2 linked regions of the Elephas maximus indicus genome follow. The protein of the gene in region 1 purifies or fractionates together with the protein of each later gene. This does not show direct contact. Links are inferred from orthologs where the notes say so. Each region holds a gene or a part of one and is shown on either strand. Other genes may lie near its edges.

Evidence for each region. Proteins that work in one complex are often made in the same cells at the same time.
Region 2: the proteins of POLR2B (region 1) and POLR2M purify together in Homo sapiens (affinity purification with mass spectrometry; 3 studies listed by BioGRID and IntAct, counting the BioPlex papers as one, with this or other methods). This does not show direct contact. The link is inferred for Elephas maximus indicus from reciprocal best matches to the Homo sapiens genes POLR2B and POLR2M.

Annotation. Positions count from the first base shown.
Region 1 is NC_064823.1:104,050,861-104,058,198, forward strand, and holds the start of POLR2B (DNA-directed RNA polymerase II subunit RPB2), read right to left. Parts: upstream 3,087-7,338; 5' UTR 2,985-3,086; coding exon 2,966-2,984; intron 1-2,965. Other genes in the region: NOA1 (nitric oxide-associated protein 1), read left to right, coding at 3,779-4,928, 6,705-6,869. UniProt on the Homo sapiens protein: Catalytic core component of RNA polymerase II (Pol II), a DNA-dependent RNA polymerase which synthesizes mRNA precursors and many functional non-coding RNAs using the four ribonucleoside triphosphates as substrates.
Region 2 is NC_064831.1:47,823,937-47,831,272, reverse strand, and holds the start of POLR2M (protein GRINL1A), read right to left. Parts: upstream 3,068-7,336; 5' UTR 2,923-3,067; coding exon 2,810-2,922; intron 914-2,809; coding exon 266-913; intron 1-265.

The DNA.
Region 1 (7,338 bases):
AGTGGTGTGAGCAGAATCAGACTGTAATGGGTTGAGGAAAAACTGAAAGACAGGAATTGGAAACATGCAGAGCCTGTTCCTTTTAGTAAGCGTGGCTATGAATGGAAAGAGGAAGACAAAAATACCGGGAGAAAAAAAAAGAAAACAGTGAAAAGAGGGTTTAACTGTGAATGGTGTATCCTGTGAATGACATCTAATATTTTACACAGAAACCAGATGAAAAGTAGTGTCTGAAAACTGATAAGATGGTGTCTAACAGATTTCAAAGGGCACAGACGTGAATGGAATGTACTCAATCCTAGAGCATTCATGAACATGATAACTTTAACTCTTTTTCCACAGGCATTATTATTATACATCGCTAATAAGAATGTAAAATTGTACAATTACCTTGGCGGTCACTTAGCACCATCTATCAAAATGTTAAATGTGTCTAACATTTGAACCAACAATTCTATACCCAGGAATTTATTCGAGACATACTTGTACGTGGGAAAAAAAACATATGTACAAGATTATGAACCACTGTTTGAACTAGAAAAAGACTGGAAATAACCAATGTCCATCAACAAGACACTACCTAATTAAGTTACAGATATCCATACAAACTAGGTTAACTATGGTAGAAAAACGAGGCTTTCTATATACTAATAGAAAATCTCCTAAATTTATTAAGCAAAAAATAAAAGTGCAGAGAAGTGTGAATATTAGCTTCTATTTGTAAAAGGGGGAAAAATAAAAACCTGTTATGTTGAGTCAATTCTGACTCATTGCAACCCTACAGGACTGAACAAAGCTGCCCCACAGAATCTCATTTGTATTTGCTTAAATATGCATAAAAGAAATTCTGGAGTAATAAGTAAGAATCTAAAAAGAGTGATTACTCATTTGTGGAAGGGATTAAAGTAGACAGATGGTAAACAAGAATGAGAACAGGCACTTTAAAGTGTTTGTAATTTCTAGCTGGTGAGCCATGAGAATACAGTACCTACTCAAAAACTTAAAACTTTAAAATTTTCTTCTGAGATAAAGTTAAGAAGAAAAAGAAATGTAAAGATGCTGATGAACTTCTAGACAAAAGATATGAATCAGACAGAATCATTACAGCAGAGTTTTAACTTTCCGTTTCTATTTTCTCCGTGAAGTAGCTAACAGAATGACAAGAAAAGCAAGCAGTGACCATAGGATAAGGAGCTGGAGGAGAATGAAGTTTGAAATAGTAACTGTAGGCAATCGAAGAGGGAGCTTTAAAAACACAACATGAAAATACACTAGACATGATTAAAAATTCTTTATACAAAAAGAAAAAGGATACGTTCCACCTGTTCAGTAAAACGTATTATCAAGCAAGAACAATTACTACAATTCCTTGTGGGAAGAGTAAGTTTAAAAGCCATCTTTTAAGACAATTTGCTTAGACTTAAGACAGCATGAGGAATGCCAAACTAGATCAACCCCTTCTCCAGTGTATTTCCAGGGCCTAGCACGATGTCAGAAATTCAAGCCAGATTCAGAAGAGGACATGGAACAAGGAATACCATTGCTGAAGTCAAAGGAATTTTGGTTGACAGAAACAATACCAGAAATATGTTTACCTGTGTTTTATTAACTGTGCAAAGGTATTCGACTGTGTGCATCATAACAAATTATGGATAACACCGTGAAGAATGGGAATTCCAGGACGCTTTATTGTGCTCATGAGGAACCTGTACTTAGACCAAGAGGCAGTCGTTAGAACAGAACAAGGGGATACTGGGTGGTTTAAAGTCAAGAAAGGTGTGCGTCAGGGTTGTATCCTTTCATCATACTCATTCAATATGTATGCTGAGCAAACAATCTGAAACGCTGGATTATATGAAGAGGAAAGTGGCATCAGGATTGGTGGAAGACTCACTAACAAGCTGCGATATGCGGATGACACAACCTTGCTTTCTGAAAGTGAAGAGGATTTGAAGCACTTTACTGGTGAAGGTCAAAGACCACAGCCTTCAGTATAGATTACACCTCGATACAAAGAAAACAAAAATCCTCACAACTGTACCAATAAACAACATCATGATAAACAGAAAAAATACTGAAGTCACGGAGTTCATTTTACATGGATCCAGAATCAATGCACATGGAAGCAGCAGTCAAGAAATCAAACGACGTACTGTACTAATCTGCTGCAAAAGACCTCTTTAAAGTATTTAAAAGCAAAGCTGTCACCTTGAGGACTAAGATGCGGCTGATCCAAGCCACGGTATTTTCCATCAAGTATGCATGTGAAAGCTCGACAATGAATGAAGACCCAAGAAGAACTGATGCCTTTGAACTACGGTATTGGCGAAGAATACTGAATATACCACGGACTGCCAGAAGTTGGAACAAATCTGACTCGGAGTAAGTACAGCCGGAATGCTCCTTAGAAACGAGGATGGTGAGACTTCGCCTCATGTACCTTGGACATGTTAAAACAAGGGACCAGTCCCTGAAGTACATCATGCTTGGTAGAGGGTCAGCAAAAAAGAGGAAGACCCTCACGGCACCTAATGACAACAACAGCACAATGCCTGGCACAAGGGTGACGCTCATTAATTGAACTAGTCGATAAAACCACTAACTGTGGCCCTAAGGGAAATCAAGAAAAGAGCACTTTGCTTCAGATCAAGTCAAAACAACCATATTTGTCTTACGGTTCTGTACGTTTTTGCAATACCGCAGGTAAATAGCACAATTAACAGGATAGAGAATAGAGAGGGAGAAGAGAATAACAGTCATTTGACTAGGAACTTCAACGTCACGTTCCCTGCACCCTCCACCTCTCGCAACCTGGCTTCGTTCTCGGCCTGTAGTATGCGAGGACCACAACCGGGGACACTTGTGCGGCTGGCGGGGGTCGGCCACAAATCCTCAATCCGTCCAGTTACCCAAATTCCCCACCCTAACTGGGTCGCCGCGGAGTGAGATTTGAGTGGTCACCTACCCTCGTCCGCGTCATACATATTGGCAAAAGGTACCGGAGCGCCTAGCTCTTGAAATCTAGAGAGACAGAAAAGAGCGAAGCAGCCGCCAGCTCCCGGAGAGCGCGTCGAAGTAATTTCCGTCTCCGGCGTTCCCAGAATACTGTGCGTCTTACACCAAAAAAAAAAAAAAAAACACCAAAAAAAGCCACCCACAAAGAAGCAAATATTAGAACTGCGCTTGCGCAAATGATAGAGCATGTTGGCTAGGGTTGGCTTTACGCACGCGCAAATTCTGACACGACGCCTCTAGTGGCTGTTCGCTAGAACTCCTCGTACTGTTTGAGGGTATTCGGCCAGTGCAGGTTTTTTTTTATTGTGTGCACACTCTGAGTGTTGTTGCGCAAATAATGATTTTTTTTTTTAGCCAAGGTGTATTAATTTAAAAAGTGTTATTAATAAAAGGCTTTCGTTGCGGCCCTGCTTCTGCGACACTCGTTTTATTTTCTGCACTTCTGAAGACCAAAAAACACGCAAGCTTTTAAAATGTAATTTATTAAGAGCAGGGTATGCTAGCGGTGGAGCGTTGAAGGAATCTGAATAGTTCAAAGCATGCACTATCCTCTTGTGGCAGCTAAGTGAGTATTTAGGTCCCAGATTCGTGGCCTCAAAGCCTTCCAATCGCGAGAACTCACGGAATTCAAAACGGGAGGAGGAGCCAGAATGATAGCTCCCAGACACCCCGGGGTTTTCGACTCGCGTTTGCCTCGCGCCTCGGTCCCGAGTGCGCATGTGCGGAGGTGGCTCCGCCCTTTTGCCCAGGTGCCGCGTTTCTCATGCTGCCCGCACGCCTAACCCGTGAGTTGTTCCTCTCGTTGTTGCGGGCCTCAGCTCCTGTGGTAGTGCGCCATGGCCTCCGGGAGCCGCTGCTCGAGAGAGGATACGCGGCCGCCTACTCCTTCCAGCACCCCTCCGGCCTGGGACGTGGGCTTTCTTATGGCCCGACGGCGACTGGGGGCTACGGAGGAAGGACTGACATGGAGGAGCAATTTCTGTTCCCTGAGTACGTCGCGGAGCCGGAGCCCGCGCCGACCCCCGAAGAGGAGCTGCAGCAGCAGCTGCAGCGGCAGGAGGAGGAGGAGCGAGAGAAGCAGCAGCGGCGGGAGGAGCGACGCCAGCAGAAGCTACGGGTCAGCCGCCGGGTGCACCCGATCGTAGGGCACCCAGACGCGGCGGTGCCGCCCAGCGGCGTGAACTGCTCAGGCTGCGGGGCGGAGCTGCACTGCCAGAACCCCGACGTGCCCGGCTACCTGCCCAGCGAGAAGTTCCTCAGCGCCGCGGCGCAGGCCGACGGCGGGCTGGCGCGGACCGTGTGCCAGCGCTGCTGGCTGCTGGTGCACCACCGGCGCGCTCTGCGCGTGCAGGTGAGCCGCGAGCAGTACCGGGAGCTCGTGAGCTCCGCGCTCCGACGGCCGGGTCCCGCACTGGTGCTCTACATGGTGGACCTGCTCGACCTGCCCGACGCCCTGCTGCCCGACCTGCCGGCGCTGGTGGGCCCCAAACAACTGATCGTGCTGGGGAACAAGGTGGACCTGCTGCCCCAGGACGCCCCCGGCTACCGGCGCCGGCTCCGGGAGCGGCTGTGGAACGACTGTGCCCGCGCCGGCCTCCTGCCGCCTCGTAGGTACCGAGGGCCACAGGGCCCCGGCGGAGACGGCCCTGGGGACCCGGAGGAAAATCCGAATCCGTCGGCCAAGCCCCGCACGGTACTCAGGGACGTGCGGCTGATAAGCGCCAAAACCGGTTACGGGGTCGAAGAGTTGATCTCCGCGCTTCAGCGCTCCTGGCGCTACCGTGGTGACGTCTACCTGGTGGGCGCCACCAACGCCGGCAAGTCCACTCTCTTCAACACACTCCTAGAATCCGACTACTGCATCGCCAAGGGCGCCGAGGCCATCGACAGGGCCACCATCTCCACCTGGCCAGGTGAGCCGTACGAGGCTCGCCCCTTTCGGTTTTTGAGAAGTTGGACTTCTGGTCGTGACCCCAGGCGTCTAGTACAGCATTTGTAATGTCCACCAGGAGGTGCTTACAGTTTTCCCTTTAGAAATTCTTTCCCAACTTTGGTCACAGGTCTCTTTTCTGAGTCATCTTAGTGCTTGGACAATCTGTATGCATTGTAGTAATTTTGTAATAGAACTATTTATGGAGCGTTTCTATGTGCCGGTCACTGTTCTAGGCACTGGAGATACAAAGTTCCTGCTGTCTTGGAGGTTTCCCTTGTAACTTCTTTGTGTGTTTCTCTGAAACGTTATGTTTCCTTTTATGCTCTGAACTTACACCCTTCAGTCCTACTTCTCATATCTTGAGTTTATTCATACAAATGTGAAGTGTGCTATACACACATTTCACATTTTGAAAAATTCAGTGAAGCAATATGATGTGTGGCTCTGTCTAGAAGAAATGTCGATTTTGTGGCTTTAAGAAGTTTCTGTAATCGAAAAATGGGTCATTCTATGAGCCTGTTGGAGGCCTCGTGGCGCAATGGATAAGAGCTAGGCCACTAGTCGAAGGGTTGGCAGTTCAAATCTACCAGCCGCTCCTTGGAAACCCTATGGGGCAGTTCTCCTGTGGGGTCGCTATGAGTCGGAACCTACTTGAAGGCACGTAACAACAACGTGACCCTGTTAGTATTTAACAGTTGGCAATAGGGTCACTATGAGTCAGAATCGACTGAAAAGGCAACAGGTTTGGTGGAGTTTTTTTGTTTGTTTTTTTGGTTTAATCTTTTGTGGGTACTAACTGTCCCAGTTTTTCCTTTGAAACTAGAATTGAGCTTTGGCAAGCTTTTTTCTTTCTCGGCCTTGAACTTTATTGTTTTGGTTTTGTTTTGTTGTATTGTGCTTTAGGTGAGGGTTTACAGCACAAATTAATTTCTCATTCAAAAATTTATACACAAATCATTTTGTAATGTTGGTTGTAGTCCCCACAATGTGACAGCATACTCCCCCTTTCCACCCCGGGTTCCCTGTGTCCATTTGTCCAGTTTTCCCATCCTTTTCTGCCTTCTCATCTTGCTTTTGGGCACTAGTTGCCCATTTGGTCTGGTATACTTGATTGAACAAAAAAAAAATTGTTATTTAGGCCTGTCTAATCTTTGTCTGGAAGTTGGAGTTCGGAAGTGGCTTCAGTTCTGAGTTAGCAGGGTTTCTGGGGGCCATAGTCTCGGGGGCTCCTCCAGTCTCTGTGAGACCAGTAAGTCTGGTCTTTTTTGTGTGAACTTGAATTTTGTCCTACATTTTTCTCTTGCTCTGTCCAGGACGCTATTGTGATCTCTGTCAGAGTGGCTGGTGGTGGTAACCCGGCACCATCTAGTTCTGAGCTCAGGCTAGTGGAGGCTGTGTGTGGTTCATTTGGTCCATTGATCTTTTGGGCTAATATTTTCTTTGTGTCTTTGGTTTTCTTTCTGCTTTGAACTTTGGTTGAATTATACAGGAAAGTGCTTCTATGCATGGTGAATATGGAAAGAAATCAGATCTGCAAATTTTGGATTCAAATCCTGAGCCAATCTGAGCCTGTTTTTTCATCTGTAAAATGGGAATAATTTTATAGAGGGTTATCACAAAGCTTAAGTGAGATAAATCACGGTATCCAACACAGTGTAACTCTTCAAAAATGTTAGTCGTTCCCCGCCCCGCGCGTTTCTTTTTTTTTTTTTTGGTACAGCATTTATAAAAGCCCACTTATTCTTTGGTATTTTAGGTACTACATTAAACCTTCTGAAGTTTCCTATTTGCAACCCAACGCCTTATAGAATGTTTGAAAGGCAAAAGAGGCTTAAAAAAGATGCAAGAAAAGCTGAAGAAGATCTTACAGAGCAAGAACAAAATCAACTTAATCTCTTGAAAAAGCATGGTTATGTAGTAGGTAAGCATCTTCCGTAGGAAAGCTGTTGTTGGTTCTGTGCTAAAATTCTTCGGAGTGCCACCTGAAATACAGCTGTCGTGGGCTAGCTAGTTTTTGTGGAGAAAATAGAAGCCCTTCAGATGCAAAGCTTCTCTTTGGAAACCCAGAGGTTAGTACGCTGGGACCATAGTTACTTGGAGGAGTCCAGAAAAGAAACCATGCAATAGCTGCTGCCCTAGCCATTGTCAGCAGTAGAAACATTTCCTCAGGAGGCACCCTATTCAATGCAGACCATTACAGGTAGTGAAGGTGATTCCCTGCAGCAGCTTTAAATTAATCTGTCCTCCTTTTCTTGGTATCTGTTTCCAGCCTTTCATTAATAAAAACAGTTTGATTTCCAACACCACACTACCCCCAACACTACACAGCCAGTTGTACACTTGATCATTGCAACAGTCTGACTCCCACTGCCTTTGGGGAAAAAAGCAAA
Region 2 (7,336 bases), on another chromosome or scaffold:
AATACTGATTAAGTATCCTGAAATTGAATATTCCCCCATCTGTCATTTAAAACCTTTTCAATTATTTGGCTAAAGCACTTAAGTGTTTTTTAACATGATTCCTCCACTCCAGCCAGGCTGTTGTTTTCCAAACACGTTTATTCCTAAGTACAAGCAGCTCTCACACAAAGCCCATGGAATTTTTTTTTTTTTTTTTTTTTAGTCTTAACTAACACTATGTTCTTTAACAAATGCTCTGTGATAGACCCATTCCAGTGGTACTTACACATTTGTTTTAAATTTATGTGGTGGGGGCACTGGGTTTTGGGCTCGCACTTCTAGCACTTCCATGTAATGTGGCTTCTTCTGGGCCCCACTACGAGGGCCTGTCAAGTTATCGGTACTTGTGTTTTCCCTTGAGCGGTGCTCCCCTGGGTCTGCGATTGTGATCCTTTGTAACCTATCAACAATCAGGTTGTCGGAGCTGCTGGAACTATCTTCTGCTTGTCTTGAAACAAGATGCTGTGGGAGACACTTGCTGGCTTCAGATAAGGAAGCGGCACTGGCTCCGCTGCTAGGAGCTGTGCGCCCGTTCACTATGCCCTCTGCTTCTGCAGTCTCTTCACTGCCTTTGTGAAAGAGATGTACAAGTCCCTGCTTTGGTGAAGCTGTTTTAGATGACTTGCTGTTATCTACAGAGGAGGAGCCAGGAACTGGTGGTGAAGTATGAAGTATCTGGTCAGAATTCTGAGCCTTAGCTGTGTCCACATCAACTCCTGCGGTCACTGTTTGCCTTACTGTACAGTCTAACCTAACAGGATGAAAGAGTTGACTTTTTCCTCTGAACTCTTCACGTTCTGCAACGGCCACTTTCAGTTTGGCAACAGAGTCTAAGATCTTTTTACCTTTGTCGGGCAATTTGCAAATGAATTTTCTGTCAAATGGAAAAGAACATGCATACATTAGAGCCATGTTTTCAAACTTCAGAGAAAATTAAAACGACAAAGCATTATCCTCAAAGGGAGAAAAGCTGGTTTTTAAATCAAAATCTGATTTTCAACTGCCCGGAAACGGGAATGAAACCAATTAAGGTAATCATTATCCAAACACCCCAATAATCAAGGCAGTACAAGAACAAGGAATATGCCTCATTTGTCTCATCCAATGAGAACTTAGTAAACACATTTAAGCATGTAATAATCATACATGACGTCCCAACAGATCAACAGTTTTGTAAGTATGGTCCTCAAGAGCCTCTTGGGGAGAAAGGGGAAAGGTCTGCGAGGTCAAAACTACTTTCATAAGAGTACTCAGATAGTACTGCCTTTCTCACGCACTTTTTCTCACATGGGTACAGTGGAGTTTCCCAGAGGATACCCTGATGTAGGGCACCACTGCTCTGGAGGCTCAATGGAATGTGTGCTTACATATCCTTGTTTTTAAAGATTTCTCAGTTGCAATTTCTAATAAATCAATAAATACTTATCGACATAACCCTCATAAACAAAAGCGTTTCTGGATCCTCAATAATTTTAAGTGTATAAAGGGGCCCTGAGACCAAAAAGTTGAGACAATTTGCTGCTACAGATAAAATTCCAACCTCGCCAAGTCAAGACACCCAAGTAACTATTTGCCCCCTCTGCTGGGTAGCAGAATTCCCTTTTCAGATTTCTTTTTCTATAGCCACACAATAAACGGGGACAGAAAGCTCACCAAAATTACATCTTAGGCCCTCTAGTCTTTCTCTGACACACAATCATTCCCATAGTGTCAACCATTAGCACCTCTCTGCAGCTCTGTGGTAGCTGCTATGTGTCCGCGTCCATGGTGCCCCTATTAGTGCATAGTAAAACTGCCCCATGGCATTTCCAAGGAGTGGCTGGTGGACTGGAGCTAGTGACCTTCTGGTCAGCTGCCAAGCTCTTAACTATTGTGCCACCAGAGCTCCTCTCTGCAGTTGAGATTCCTGTATTTTTTCCAGCCTTCTCTTCCCTAAGTTTAACAACCACTTCTCTAGCTTTTAAGTAGTCATAATTAGCCCGATGTCTATCCTGCCATATCCTAAACTTAGCAAAAGTCAATCTCTGGCCTATTCCCCTGCCCCAATTCAACCTCGAGCCTATTTCCCTCCCCAATTCCCCTAGTTTTGTTAATGGCTCTCGCAGCAGGCTGGGAACTTCAATCACCTCTGTCAACTACTTATTCAAATTACTCCGCAGCCACCTTCCTAGTTCACGTTCTTACGACCCCTTGTTGGAAACCCACCTAAAAATATCCTGTCTTCTGCCTCAGACTCCTTCAAACCCTCCTGCTACTAAATTAAACTCCTAAAAAAAAGTCACTTTTAATTTTTATTATATCACCCCTCTACTAAAACCCGTTAAATCCGAACGTGAGTCAAACTTCCTCGGCCTAATAAACCACTCTTTATATCCGACTCTTCCCATTTCCTACGGTTCCCACAAGAACAGGGTCTGCCAGGGAAACTGACATGGTGCTGAGCCGTCACCGTATTTGGCACTGTATGCGGGAGGGGGGCATATAAATGGGGCTGTGGCACACACCCTTCGTGGAACCGCCACAGTAGCTAAGGAAATTCAACCGGCTGAGCGTCCCAGAGCAGCCCAGTGGCTACGGCGGGCCAGCAGGCGAGCACCATCGAGACCCCGCGACGGCCAGCCACAGGCCGTCCATCGCCGCGGGGCTGACACGAAGCCGGCTCGGCAAGGTCACCTTCAGAGAAGGAACGGATGAGAGGAAAGGGAGGGGAGCTTCCCGGGGGGCCCGAACCGCGGGATCCCGGAGTTGGTTCGGCGGGACCCAAGCTTACTCGTTGCGCAAAAGTCTCTCCTGGCGCTTCAACATCTCCCGCAGCTCCGCCAAACTCCGCCGCCCCCAGTCCTCGGGAGCTAGGGGCTCGAAGCCGCGGGCCAGCGAGGACATTGTACGGGGGCTGCGGCTGGCGAGGCGGCGGGCACTCGGCTCCCTCGGCAGCCCCCGCCGCTAGCGCCGGATCCGCAGGCGGCGACGACTCTGGGGCGCGAGCGGGGGACGCCATTTTCCCGGAAGAACGGGGCTTCTTCGAGGCGAATCGAACTTTATTGACACAGCGGAAACAAACACAGACCGAGCGAAGGGGCCGCCGGGAGGAGCGGGAGAGGGCGGAAGTGACGGGGCTAACTTCAGCGGCCGGAAGGGCTTTTTTTCGCGCCTGTTTTTCGGGATTGATTCGACGGCGCTAGGTTCTAGGTTCTTTAGGGTCGTCTAGTCGTATTTTTTAATCTATTTCTTCGGAAAGTAGTTGAGTGCCGCCGTGACGTCACTACCCAGCGTATGTTAATGAACAAATCGCCACCGAAAGTAGAAGCCTGCAAGCCTCACAGGAGAAGCCCCTGCGCTTATGGAATTTACAGCATCGTGGAGGGGGGCAGAAAACCAAATAGTAACACAGTATGACAGCGAGATTGGGATGGACTTAGAGAAGGTATCCCTGAGCAATGAAATTTATGTTCAAACCTGGAGAAATGAAACACATAAGACAGTCATTACTGCTGGGTGGCGCAGACCGTTTGCGCTGGACTACTAAAGGTTGTTGGTTTGAACGCACTCAGCGGCACCACGGAGGAAAGGCCTGGCAGTCCGCTTTGTGCCATCGAGGTGATTGGGATTCGTAGCAATCCTATATGACACAGTAAAACTGTCCCATAGGACAGTTTCTTAAGCTGTAATCTTTACAGAGCAGACCACCAGGCCTTTTCTCCCAAGGAGGGCAAACTGCTGACCTTTCAGTTAGCACCCAGGCACTTAACCGTTGCACAACTAGGACTCCTTTCCATTACCCTGTGGAAGAGTTCTACTCTGTAACACCTGGGATCATCATGAGTCAACAGCAGCCTGTTTGGTTTTTTGGCCTACGGTGTGATTCCTCCTACCCTAAGGCTTAGCGAGGTCCTAGATGTTAACGTTAAAGTTGAAAGGTTCCCCAGTTATTGCTCTAGGCCATTTGGTGTCTGGCTTCTGCTGACTAGTTGCCATGACACTTGCAAGTCATCATAACAACCCAAAACACCCCACCATTCCCAAAGGTTCACAAGAGTTGAGGATGTCAGTAGGAGGTGTACAGCTGGCTGAGAATCTCTCTTTCACAACTTACTATTTTGCTGATGGAAATACAGAGGTACAAAACCTGATGTGAATATTCCCGGGGCACAGAACCAGTAAGTGATAGCCTCAGATTTCAAACCCAAATGCTCAGCTGCTCTTTCCAACATGCAACTCAGAAATGCTTTTCTTCGTTTCAGGCCTATTTCCAAATGTATAAAATTGGTAAACAAAACAAAACAAAACAAAATCGTTTTGTTTGTTTGAAGAGGAAGGCAATGTAAAAGGCATCACACCCAGCTCCCACTTTCTCTTTAGAGTTCAGCTCGTAGAGCTGTCTCCTGAAAGAAAGTGTAAGAAGCTTGCAAGCCTCATAGGAGATGTGGCTTTGGAGGCTTGAACATGCCCATGGGCTCCAGCACTCTTCCTGTTCTTTGATACGGAAAATTGAAGCTTTCTCAAAACCATGTCAGGCACCATTGCAGGGATTGCATCCAATGTCACAAAAGAATATGTGTATAAATTTTTGAATGAGAAACAAACTTGAGCTGTAAACTTCCACCTAAAGCCACAACAAAACTAAAAAAAAAAACTAATAAAAACCAAATATAAATGATAAAAAGGAAAAAAAATTGTGTAAGTTGCTATATAAACACAAAGCAGCTCCCCACCAACCAGACCGACAAACACTCTAGATAAAATCTGGAGCTACTCCCAGGAGTGTAGTTGCAGACTTTTCTGTATCTACCCCAATCTAGTCCATCTGATCAGATTAACTAATATATCAAAAGAAATTGCCTGCTTTCAAGAACTTCAGTAACCCGCTCCAAAAAAAAAAAAAAAAAAAAACCTAACCCGTTGCCATCGAGTTGATGTTAACTTACAGTGACCCTAAAAGGTCAGGGTAGAACTGCCCCTTAGGGTTTCCAAGGTGCAACTGGTGGATTTGAACTGTCAACCTTTTGGTTAGCAGCCAAGCTCTCAGCCACTGCGCCACCAGGGCTCCAGCTGTGGCTAAATAAGAAATAACTCAGATTAAAGTCCCCAAATGAGGTCCTAGTCACTCGGCAAGTTCCTCTAAGGCCTCCCTCATCCCTCCTCTAGGTTGCAGCTGGAGGTCTTTTCCCTGCCCCTGCCCCCCCCCCCCCCCGCCACAGTAGAGAACCCCCATACTCTGATCCTGGGCTACCGTTTCCATGGCAAGGATGCCTTTCTTTCAGGCCACAGAATTTTGTCCCCTGCCAGTTTCCCCTTGTAGAAGGCTATCCCTTCTCCCCTCGCCAATTATAAATCTTGGCTCAAAGCAGAAAAAGAAGGCCAGTGTGGAAGGCTGGAGCTAGATCCCATGGGGCTTTGTCGATCAAGATATGGAGTTGGGATTTTATTCTAAGCCATTTGTGGTAGGCAGCCTCTAGGATGGTTCCCAATGATTCCACCTTTATGTAATCCCTTCCCATTGAGTGTGGGCTGCCCTTACTCTCTTCTAACAAATAGAATACAGCAGAAGTCATGGGATATCACTTCCAACATTAGGTTATAAAAGATTTGAACAGACATTTCACCAAAGAAAATGTTCAGATGAAAAATAAGCACAATAATGTGTTCCACATTACTAACCATTAGGAAAATATGCATAAAAAATACAATGAGATACTACTGTACACTTATCAGAAAGACTGATGATGTCAGGTGTTGGCAAGGCTGTGAAGCAACTGAAACTCTTATACGTTGCTGGTGGAACTATAAAATGGTGCAACCACTTTGGAAAACAGTTTGGCAGTTTCTTAAAAAGTTAAACTTAACATCTACCATATGACCCAGTCACTCATTTGCTAGGTATTTATCCAGGAGAAATGAAAGCATATGTCCACACCAAGACTTGTACATAAATGTTCATAGTAGCTATATTTGGAATATCCAAAAAATATAAACAACCCAAATGTCTATCAGCTGGCGAATGGATAAACCAATTTCGGTCTATCCATACAATGGAAAACTATGGCACATGCACCAACTTTGATGAATCTCAAAATAATTATATTGAGTGAAATAAGTCAGAAAAATATGAGTGTATACTGTATGGTTCCATTTATATAAAATTATTTAAAATGAATACTAATCTACAGTGACAGAAAGCAGATTGGTGATCACCTCAGGATGTGGGGTGGCAGGGAGAAGTTGGGGGAGGGAGTCCAAGAGGACAGGAGGAAACTTTTGGGCAGGATGGATGTTCTCATTATCTTGATTGTGATGATGGTTATATGGGTATATATTTGATAAGTCAAATGAATCGACTTATCAAGTTATACACTTTAACTATGTACAGTGAAGAATGTGTCAGTTAAACTCCAAAAAGCTGTTAAACATCCCCCTCTAGCTTCCACCCTCTCTTCCATTTTCAGAGAGCAGATTCCAAAAGAATTGTCTACTCTCTTTGACTCCACTTCACCGCTCTTGCCAGAGCCATCAATCTCCTCCAGGGCCTCAAATCCAAGGAACAGGTTTTAGTCTTTATCTTCCTTCCTGCACCTGACTATGTTGACAACTTTCTCCTTCCTAAAACTCTCTCCTACCTTAAAGTCCATGGCACCAACTCTCCAGGCTTTTCAGCAAAGGAGTCTTTTGGCTCTTTGTCCTGGGGCTAGAATTATACTGAGTAGGCCCTTACTATCCAGTATCTCAAAGGCTTCTCAGGTTGAACATGCCCCAAATTGTACTCATTTATATTTCCCTCCCCAACCCACTCTTCCTGTTTTCATTCCTAGTCGCCCAACCTGGAAGTTACACATTCATGCTGGGCTGTTCTTTTTCCCTCAACCCAACAAGTCACTAAATCCTAGAGCCTAAATACCTTTCAGTTTCCAGTTGCCACAAATGGTTAAGCACTTGGCTACTAAATGAAAGTTGGCAGTTGGAAAATCTACCCAGAGGTGACTTGAAAGAAAGGCCTAGTGATTAACTTCTGAAAGATCACAGCCATTGAAAACATTATGAAGTGTAATTCTACTCTAAAACACATGGGGTCTCCATAAGTGAGAGCTAATTCAACAGCAACAGGTTTTGTTTTGTTTTTAATACCTTTCAATTCTTCCCCTTCTCCTCTCTACACTCTAATCTCTTCCACCCCTTTCAACTTCCCACCCCATATGCCCATCTGTCGGGGGACAGCCCCAGCAAGGAAAGACCCTCGCTGTGCGTCCTGGCAGATAATCCGAAGAACTGACACATAGCCCTTTCCAGATTCAGACGGTTATTC